2 linked regions of the Lonchura striata genome follow. The protein of the gene in region 1 binds, or shares a complex with, the protein of each later gene. Links are inferred from orthologs where the notes say so. Each region holds a gene or a part of one and is shown on either strand. Other genes may lie near its edges.

Evidence for each region.
Region 2: the proteins of KPNB1 (region 1) and PTHLH are in contact, whole or in part, in a crystal structure (PDB 1M5N), measured with the Homo sapiens proteins. The link is inferred for Lonchura striata from reciprocal best matches to the Homo sapiens genes KPNB1 and PTHLH. Residues at the interface, in NP_002256.2 of Homo sapiens: Val55, Tyr104, Pro106, Gln111, Glu152, Tyr156, Gln159, Asn196, Leu199, Asn200, Gln239, Glu274, Gln278, Glu281, Asp288, Ile295, Ser298, Glu299, Asp339, Asp340, Trp342, Val350, Met353, Glu395, Trp430, Arg434, Glu437, Asn469, Trp472; in NP_945316.1 of Homo sapiens: Tyr103, Thr105, Gln106, Glu107, Thr108, Asn109, Lys110, Val111, Glu112, Thr113, Tyr114, Lys120, Thr121, Pro122, Gly123, Lys124, Lys125, Lys126, Lys127, Lys129.

The regions. Positions count from the first base shown.
Region 1 is NC_134627.1:8,499,473-8,503,373, reverse strand, and holds the start of KPNB1 (importin subunit beta-1), read left to right. Parts: upstream 1-1,520; 5' UTR 1,521-1,775; coding exon 1,776-1,815; intron 1,816-2,054; coding exon 2,055-2,113; intron 2,114-3,901.
Region 2 is NC_134607.1:11,158,862-11,162,762, reverse strand, and holds the start of PTHLH (parathyroid hormone-related protein), read left to right. Parts: upstream 1-1,411; 5' UTR 1,412-1,428; coding exon 1,429-1,529; intron 1,530-3,901. UniProt on the Homo sapiens protein: Neuroendocrine peptide which is a critical regulator of cellular and organ growth, development, migration, differentiation and survival and of epithelial calcium ion transport.

The sequences.
Region 1 (3,901 bases):
CGGAGTTCTGAGAGTTTTGGGATCACCACCATTCCATGGGGAGCTGTCCCAGCACTCAACCAACCTTTGGATGAAGATCTTTGCCCAAAATGCAACCCAACAAATCCATCCCAAAACTCCTGGAGCTCTGAGAGTTTTGGGATCACAACCATTCCATGGGGAGCTGTTCCAGCATCCAAATTCCAACCCAACGAATCCATCCCAAAAATCCCAGAGCTCTGAGAGTTTTGGGATCACCATAATTCCAAGGGGAGCTGTTCCAGCGCCCAAAATCCACCCCAACCAATCCACCCCGAAACCCCTGGAGCTGCGGCAGTTTTGGGATCACCCCCATTCCCTGCGGAGCTGTCCCGGTGCCCGCCGCTCCTTTCCCAGCGGGAATTCCTCCCCGTCCCTCTCCAGCCCTGCCCGGTCCCGGCCGCGCTCCTCCCGCAATTCCCGCGGCTCCCGTTGCTGCATCCCTCGGCCGGGATCCCGGAACCCTTCGGCAGCGGGCGATGCCGAACGGGCCGAGCCCGGGGCGGTGTCCCGGTAATTGCCGCTTGTCCCCGCGCCTCCGGCGAGCGTCACTAATTACCGCTCGCCCTCCCGGCCCCGTTAATTGTCCCGCCGCTCTCCGCCCGTCCCGTTCCCGCATCCCTCGGTTGTCACCCCGCTTTGGGGACACACCGCGATGCGCAAGGAGCGCGGTGCCCGAACCGAGGGACTCGGCGGACACCGGAGCCGGTGCGGGGCGGGTTCTGCCGGGGCCGTCGCACCGGGGAGCGCTCCCATCCCCGCCCCGGTGCTGACCGGCCCGGTGCCCCGCCCGGCCACCGGTACCGACCACGGGACACCCCGCTTCGTGCGGGATGCCCGTCACGCAGCGATTCTGCACTGCCGGACTGCACACACCGGGACACACCGGGTCACACCCCCGGTCCCGGGAAACCGGCGCCGGTTCCGCTTCCCGCCGCGCGCCGAGCACGTGGCTCCTCCCCAGCCGGTTCCGGTGCCGCTGCCGCCCTGCCCCGGGCATTGCCGGGAACCGGCGGCAGTGCCGGTGACCCCGCTCCCCGTCCCGGTGCTCCCGGTGCTCCCGGTGCCGCCCCCCACGCGCGGCCCAACGTGGTCGCGCCCCCCCGCCCCCCCCACCCCGCGGCAATGGTCCCGTCCGGGCCCCGCCCAATCCCCGCGCGCGCCGCCGGAAGCCCCGCCCCTTCTTTCCTCCCCCGCTCCCTCCCTTTTGCCGCCCCCCCTCCCGCTCACCCCCCCCCCCCCCTCCAATGGCCTCGCGCCGCCGGCCCGGCCAATAGGAAAGCGCGCGCGCCGGGCCGGGGGGGCCCCGCCGGCCAATCAGCGCGGCGGGCGCGGGGCGGGCGCGCGCGCGCGCGGGGCCCCTCCCGGCGTATCCCTCCGCCGCCCGGTGCGCGCGCGCGCCGCCGCCTCCCCGCTCGCGCGCGGCCCCTTCTTTTTTTTTTTTTTTTCTTTTTCCCTTTTTTTTCTTTTTTTTTTTTTCCTTCCTTCTTCTCCACCCTCTTTTAATTTTTTTTTTTTTTTTGTTTAAATCGAAAAGAATCTCTCCCGTCCAAACGCCCCGCAGCCGCACCGGGAACCGCTGCTGCTGCTGCCCCGCTCCGGCCTCCGCGGGGCAGGCCCCGGCTTTCCGCCCTTCCCCTCCCTCCCTCCCTCCCTCCCCTCCTCCGGCCCGCCCCGCTTCCCCCCCCCCCTTCCCCTCCTCCTCCTCCTCCTCCTCCTCCTCCTCCCGCCGGCGCCGGAGCCGCCACGCCGCCGCCATGGAGCTCATCACCATCCTGGAGAAGACGGTCTCGCCGGGTGAGGCGCGGGCTGAGCGCTGAGGGCGGCGGGGCCGGGCGGGGCGGGGGCCGCGCAAGCCGCGGGGCGGCCGAGGCGGCGCCCGCAGCCGCGGGGAGGGCGTGGGCGGCGGGGGAAGCCGTGAGGCGGGCGGGAACCGGAGCGGCGGGGAGGCTCCCGGGCACGGTGAGGAGCGCGCCGGGAGCCCTGAGGGCGCGGGCGGTTGGGCCGCGGGTGACGCCGGTTTCCCCCCTCCGCAGACTGCTCGGAGCTCGAGGCGGCGCAGAAGTTCCTGGAGCAGGCGGCCATCGAGAACCTGGTGAGCGCTCGGGGCGGTCCCGGCGGCGGCGGAGCCGGCGGCGGCGGCGGGGCCGGCGCTGCCCCGAGCGCTCCGCGGCCCCGCCCGGCTCGGCCCGGCCCGGCCCGGCCGCCATGGCCGCTGCCGCCCCTGCCCGCGCCCGGCGGCCGCGCGGGCCAATCACGGCGCGGCTTGCGGGCCCGGCGGCCAATCAGCGCGCGGCGCCGGGCCGGGGGGCGGGGCCGGTGCGGGAGCGGCCGCGGGCCATGTGCGGCCGCCGCGGCCATCGCGGCCCCGGGCGCCGCCCGGTCCTAAAGCCCGGCCGCCCGCAGGGACCCCCGGACGGCCCCAGCGGCCGCCTCCAGCACCCGCGGCACCCCCGGACCGTCCTGGTGCCCGCCGCACCCCCGCCCAGCCCGACCTCCCGGTGCCGGCGTCCGCGGGACGCCCGGCCGGTTGTAGCGCCCGCTCCTCCGGGGCGCTCTCCCCGCTGTGCTGTCCGCGGGATCCCTGCCCAGCCCCGCTGGCCGGTGCTGCTGGCCGGTGCTGCTGCCTGTGGGACCCCCGCCCAGCCCTGCTGCCCAGTCTCGGTGTCCTCGGGAGCCCTGTGCGGTCCTGCTGCCCGGTGCACCGGGAGCCCCGCATCCCCCGGAGAGCCGGGCCCGGGCGGGATCGCAGCTCCGGGAGCCGGGGAGGGGCTCAGGGATGTGTGGTGGGGGAGGGAGGCTCGGCTGGGCAGGGGGAGTTGTACCCGCGCTGACCTTAAACCCGAGCAGGAAAAGAAGTCAGAAAAAAGCAACGGAAGGGGGAACAAAAAGCCCCAAAATCCCCGGGTGCGATGGCGGGGCCGGAGCGGGGGCTTGGGGCTGCTGCTGCTTCAGAAGGGATTTTGCTTAGTCAAGCTCTGGGGCTGCAGCTCTGGCTGCTCCCCGCAGGGATGGGGAGCACTGGGGGGTGCCGAGTCCCGGTGTCCCGGTGCTGTCCTTGTCACAGCCCCGTTGGCACCCCAAAAACCGGCACCGGTCACCCCCCAGCTCCTCCTCTGCTCCCCGGGCCTGCTGGGGAAGAAGCCACGGAGGTTCTGTGTTTGTGGTGCTGGTGGAAGGAGGGTGAGGATCCCTCGGGGTTGATGCTGGACCTCTCCGTTTGGAGGGGAGAATCCTCTGGGTTGGTGTTTTTGGGGGGCTCAGTACCACCCCAAGCTGTGCCTGGAGCTGCAGGGCTGAGCTCTGAGGGATTTTGGGGTGATGAGCAGGAGCTGCTCGTGGTCCTGATCTGCTGGTGTTGGGAAGAGCTGGGGAAATGTGGATTTTCCAAGGTTTCATTTCTCTTGTGGGAGAAGAAATCTGGATTTTCCAAAGTTTCTCCTCTCTTGTGGAAGAGGAAATGTGGATTTTCCAAGGTTTCATTTCTCCTTTCCTGTGGAAGAGGAAATGTGGATTTTCCAAGGTTTCATTTCTCTTGTGGGAGAAGAAACCTGGATTTTCCAAAGTTTCTCCTCTCTTGTGGAAGAGGAAATGTGGATTTTCCAAGGTTTCATTTCTCCTCTCCTGTGGAAAAGGAAATGTGGATTTTCCAGGGTTTCATTTCTCCTGTGGGAGAGGAAGTGTGGATTTTGCAGGGTTTCATTTCTCCTGTGGGAGAGGAAGTGTGGATTTTGCAGGGTTTCATTTCTCCTGTGGAAGAGGAAGTGTGGATTTTCCAAGGTTTCATTTCTCTCAGACTTGTGGGATTACTCCAAGCTTTCATTTTTACTTTGCTCCGTGAGAGGCAGAGCTTGGGCTGGCCCCGGGGATTTGTGTGGGGTGA
Region 2 (3,901 bases), on another chromosome or scaffold:
GCTGCCCGCCTCGCACGGGAGCTCAACCTGACGCAGCGGTTTGCAGGGCCCTGGCCAGGCTGAAGGAGGGCGAAGTGGAAGGCGAAAAAGGGAGAGGAGGAGAAAACTTTCCACTAGTTTACTTTTTTGGCCAAGAGCGCTTGTGTTCATAGACCGCGAGTCCTTCCCCCGGCCCTCCCCCTGAGCTCCCCCCCTCCCTTCACTAGCGTACAATTAGCATCATTAGGAACCGACCCTCCGGCTAATAGGGGAACGGCGACCAACTACGGTAGGTGCGTGCAGGGAAAGGCGGCAGCAGTCCCGGGCAGCGCTTTGGGACTTGACTGAAAAGTGCTCCCAGCGATGGAGGAATCCCCGCGGCAGGGGAGGCGCTGACCCGGGGGTAAACACAAAAAGGGAGAGCTGGAAGGTGAGCGAGAGAGGAGTGCGGCTGCAGAACATGCGGAGAGCTTGGTCGGAATCCTTGGGGTCTGCTGAATGCATGTGCTGTCGGGTCTTTCCCTTTCTTCTCTCCTTTTTGATTGCGGGCCTGGGAAGCGCTGATTCGCAGTCTCCGTTTTGGCTGTGGGTATCCTGCCCTGGCTCTCGCTCTCTCCGCACATGTTCCTAGGGCGCCATCTCTTTGCAAAACCCTCCGTCCTCCCGCAGGTCTCCCAGAGGCTGCTCTGGAGCGTGTGAACATCCCAGGCTGCAGCCCAGTCCAACCTGCCGAGCCAAGCATGCTTCCCAGCCCCTGAGCCTCCCGATCTACCGCTCCTCCCAGGCATCTCGGGCTCTCCAGATAGGCAGCGACCTTTGCTTGTTTCTCTCGTCACCGCTTGTCTATCGCCTTATCACTGTTGGAGACCAAAACTTTCTGCCAGCTGGGGACGTGAACCTGACCCTTTTTTTTTTGTAGAGGTATACTGAAAGACAGATGTGGAGATGCATTCCCCCTCCGCCTCAGTCTATGTGTGTTTGTGTGTCCGCGCGAGTTTACAGAGAAGCGATCAGCTAAGCTGACTTTAGGGAATCTTTCCTTATCTGCAAAGAAGACTTTCTGATGTAATATAAAGCCCTGAGAGAGTGGCTTAGCGGACTAGAACTAAACAGGGCTCGGGGAACTCACTGAGCCCCGCTCCAACGCTGTTGAAATGAGAGCTAGATGCTTTTTGAGCTAATACTGAGAGAGATCTTGCCTGCGGACGGCGAGAGACAGAGAGAGGGAGGGAGGGAGGGAAAGAGGGAGGGAGAGGCAGACAAGCAAGGAAGGGAGAGAGACGGAGAGAAGTTTGGAAGGAGTGAGCCGAGAGTTCAGAAAGTTTGTTTTTCCTTCAGAGCCTCGGAGCTGGTAGAGCTGAAGGGGGACTCCTTGAGGACGGCGCTGGCGCATCTGTCCCTCCGGACTGACCTCTTTTTCCTTGCAGGTTTTAAGTCCCGGAGGGTACAATGTTCGCTAAACTCTTCCAGCAGTGGAGTTTTGCAGTGTTCCTGCTGAGTTATTCCGTGCCCTCCTACGGGAGATCAGTAGAGGGGATCAGCCGCAGACTGTGAGTTTCTCTTTTTCTTTTCTTTTCTTCTTTCCCTTTATTCGTCCTCGCTGCGGCGGCAGGGAGGGAGGAAGGCAGCCCGGGAGGCTCCGCAGCGCTGCCGGCTCCGGCGGGGCCGGCCCGGGTTACCTGCCCCAGGTGCTCACTGGCGCTGCCTGAGAGCCAGGAGAGGCAGAGACAGAGCGCTTTACAGCTTTCTGACCTTGCAAAGTTCTGGGGAGGCGATGTGAAAACTGAGGGGCTTCTCTTCCGACACGCCTGGGTGATTGTTGTGCAGTTGCCCGGGACCCTCGCAGGGAGCATCCCGGTTTATCCAAACGCTGTGTGTTACAATAACTTACAGACATTTCTCGGCTCTGGCATGAAGCCAATGTTGATAGAAGTAGAGGAAACACGCAGAAGTGAGAGCCATCATGACACTGAAGTACTGAACAATTTCTTTGGATTTCTGCCACTTCAGGGGAAAAAATCCCAAGGGAGTCTAGTATCTTACTTATAGGCAGAGGTATATTTTTGATAAATGATAGTGTATCTTAAGACAGTCTGTTCAGGAAATGATCTTTTTGCTTCTTCCCAAATAATCAGCCTGGCTTATAGTAACACCCATTCACAAAGTGCAGAAGCCTCTGCTGATGCAGGAGCAGCTGTCTCACACTTCCAACTCACTGGCTTTCTCTGGACTTGCATCAGATTTTCTCAGGAAGAAACACCTCAGTCACACTGGGGAGGGCTGTATTGTTATTCAGCTCTGAAGGAAGAGAAGCTGGAGCAAGAGTGCTGGAAAATTCGATCATAACTTACAGGGAAACATGACACAGCAAACAATTTCAGATGGGTTTCCTTGTAAGTGTTTTACTACATACATAAGGACAAGACCTCCAAATAGCATTTCCTCTGCCAGTTAGGCCACACACATAAAAATAAAAATGAAAATGAAAATAAAAATAAAAAAAAATAAAAATAAATTTAAAATAAGAATTAAAATTAAAATTAAAATTAAAATTAAAAAATAAAAATTTATATAATAATAATAATAATAATAATAATAATACCCCAAAACATCCAAAATTAAAAAAAAAAAAGCCCCAGGTGAAGCAACTACAGACACACCTAAAGTTTGGCACGAGGCAGAGAACTATTACAAATCTCCTACAGCAAATTGTGTAGAACATGTTATTGCTGATAATTTTACAGTATTATTCTCAGTCCATTAACGTTTAAGTGTTTTGTACTCCTGAAAGCTGTTCTTGGGCTATTTCTTTCTTTTGGGACCATGTTATACAGAGGAATCACATTTCAGTTTCAACAATAAATAAAAAAAAAGAAAATAGTTGAAGTGCAATTAGATGCTGCTATTTTCTTGGCTAGGAAACTCTAAACTGGATCTAAGCCAAATTTTGTTGTTAAAAAAAAATCAGATTTGCAGAGAAATACTCTCTTTTTGAAGTTAGCGTAGTTCTAACACTTGTTTTAAAGGTCAGGATTAGAGGTCTTCCCAGCTTCCCCATTCTGTCCTGACAGAGGGAAGAAAAGTGTAAGCTAACCAGAAAAACACATTTCTCAGCTCCCTCTTTGCTCTGGCATGTAAAACACACACAGGAAACCAGTCAGCTGTCAGTTAGTGGCATTCATGTAGTTTTGTTTGTGGGCATAGCACAAACACAGACACCACACTCAAACACGTGTCCTGTTTTAATATTACCACAAGCTATTCCTAGAGTTAATAGCTAATAACTCATTTAGGCATTGAGATTATTTTTTTTCTCAGTCAAAAACTTAAGACAGTAATGGATGAAAATAGTGAAGCGCATTATTATAGACATGCACAAATAATCAAAATTACATAGGCCTGGTTCTACAGACTTCGCTGAGGCAAATATCTCATGGAAAGCAATAGCAAATTTTCCCAAGAAAATGTTTCCAGACATGTTATTTGTTATAGGAGTGCTATAGCTGCTAAAGAACTTCTGAGAAATCAGTAATGCCTCAAAATGAAATTACATATTTTTATCATTATTTCCAGATATCACAGAATCATGTCCCTAGATCTGTTCAAAATATTTTTCTGAAGCCTGAGATAGGTTGAGCAGATTTCCCTCCCTTTGGAGTCAGTGGCAAGGGCACTCAGTTTTGCAAAATACAGAGAGCTCACTGAATCCTCCTCAGTTATTTTCCTGAATTTAGGATCAGACCCAACATGAACAGTCAAGGATAATAACAGCTAAATAAGAGCAGCTATCTGAGATAGAAAGTGGTAGCTTGAAGAATGTTGCCTTTTAAAAATGCTAGATCTCTCGAGGGGAAAAAAAAAAAGAGGAATGTGCATGAAAAGAGCAGCTTATCTGGAAGTAGTCACAAGTCATGGATTTCTG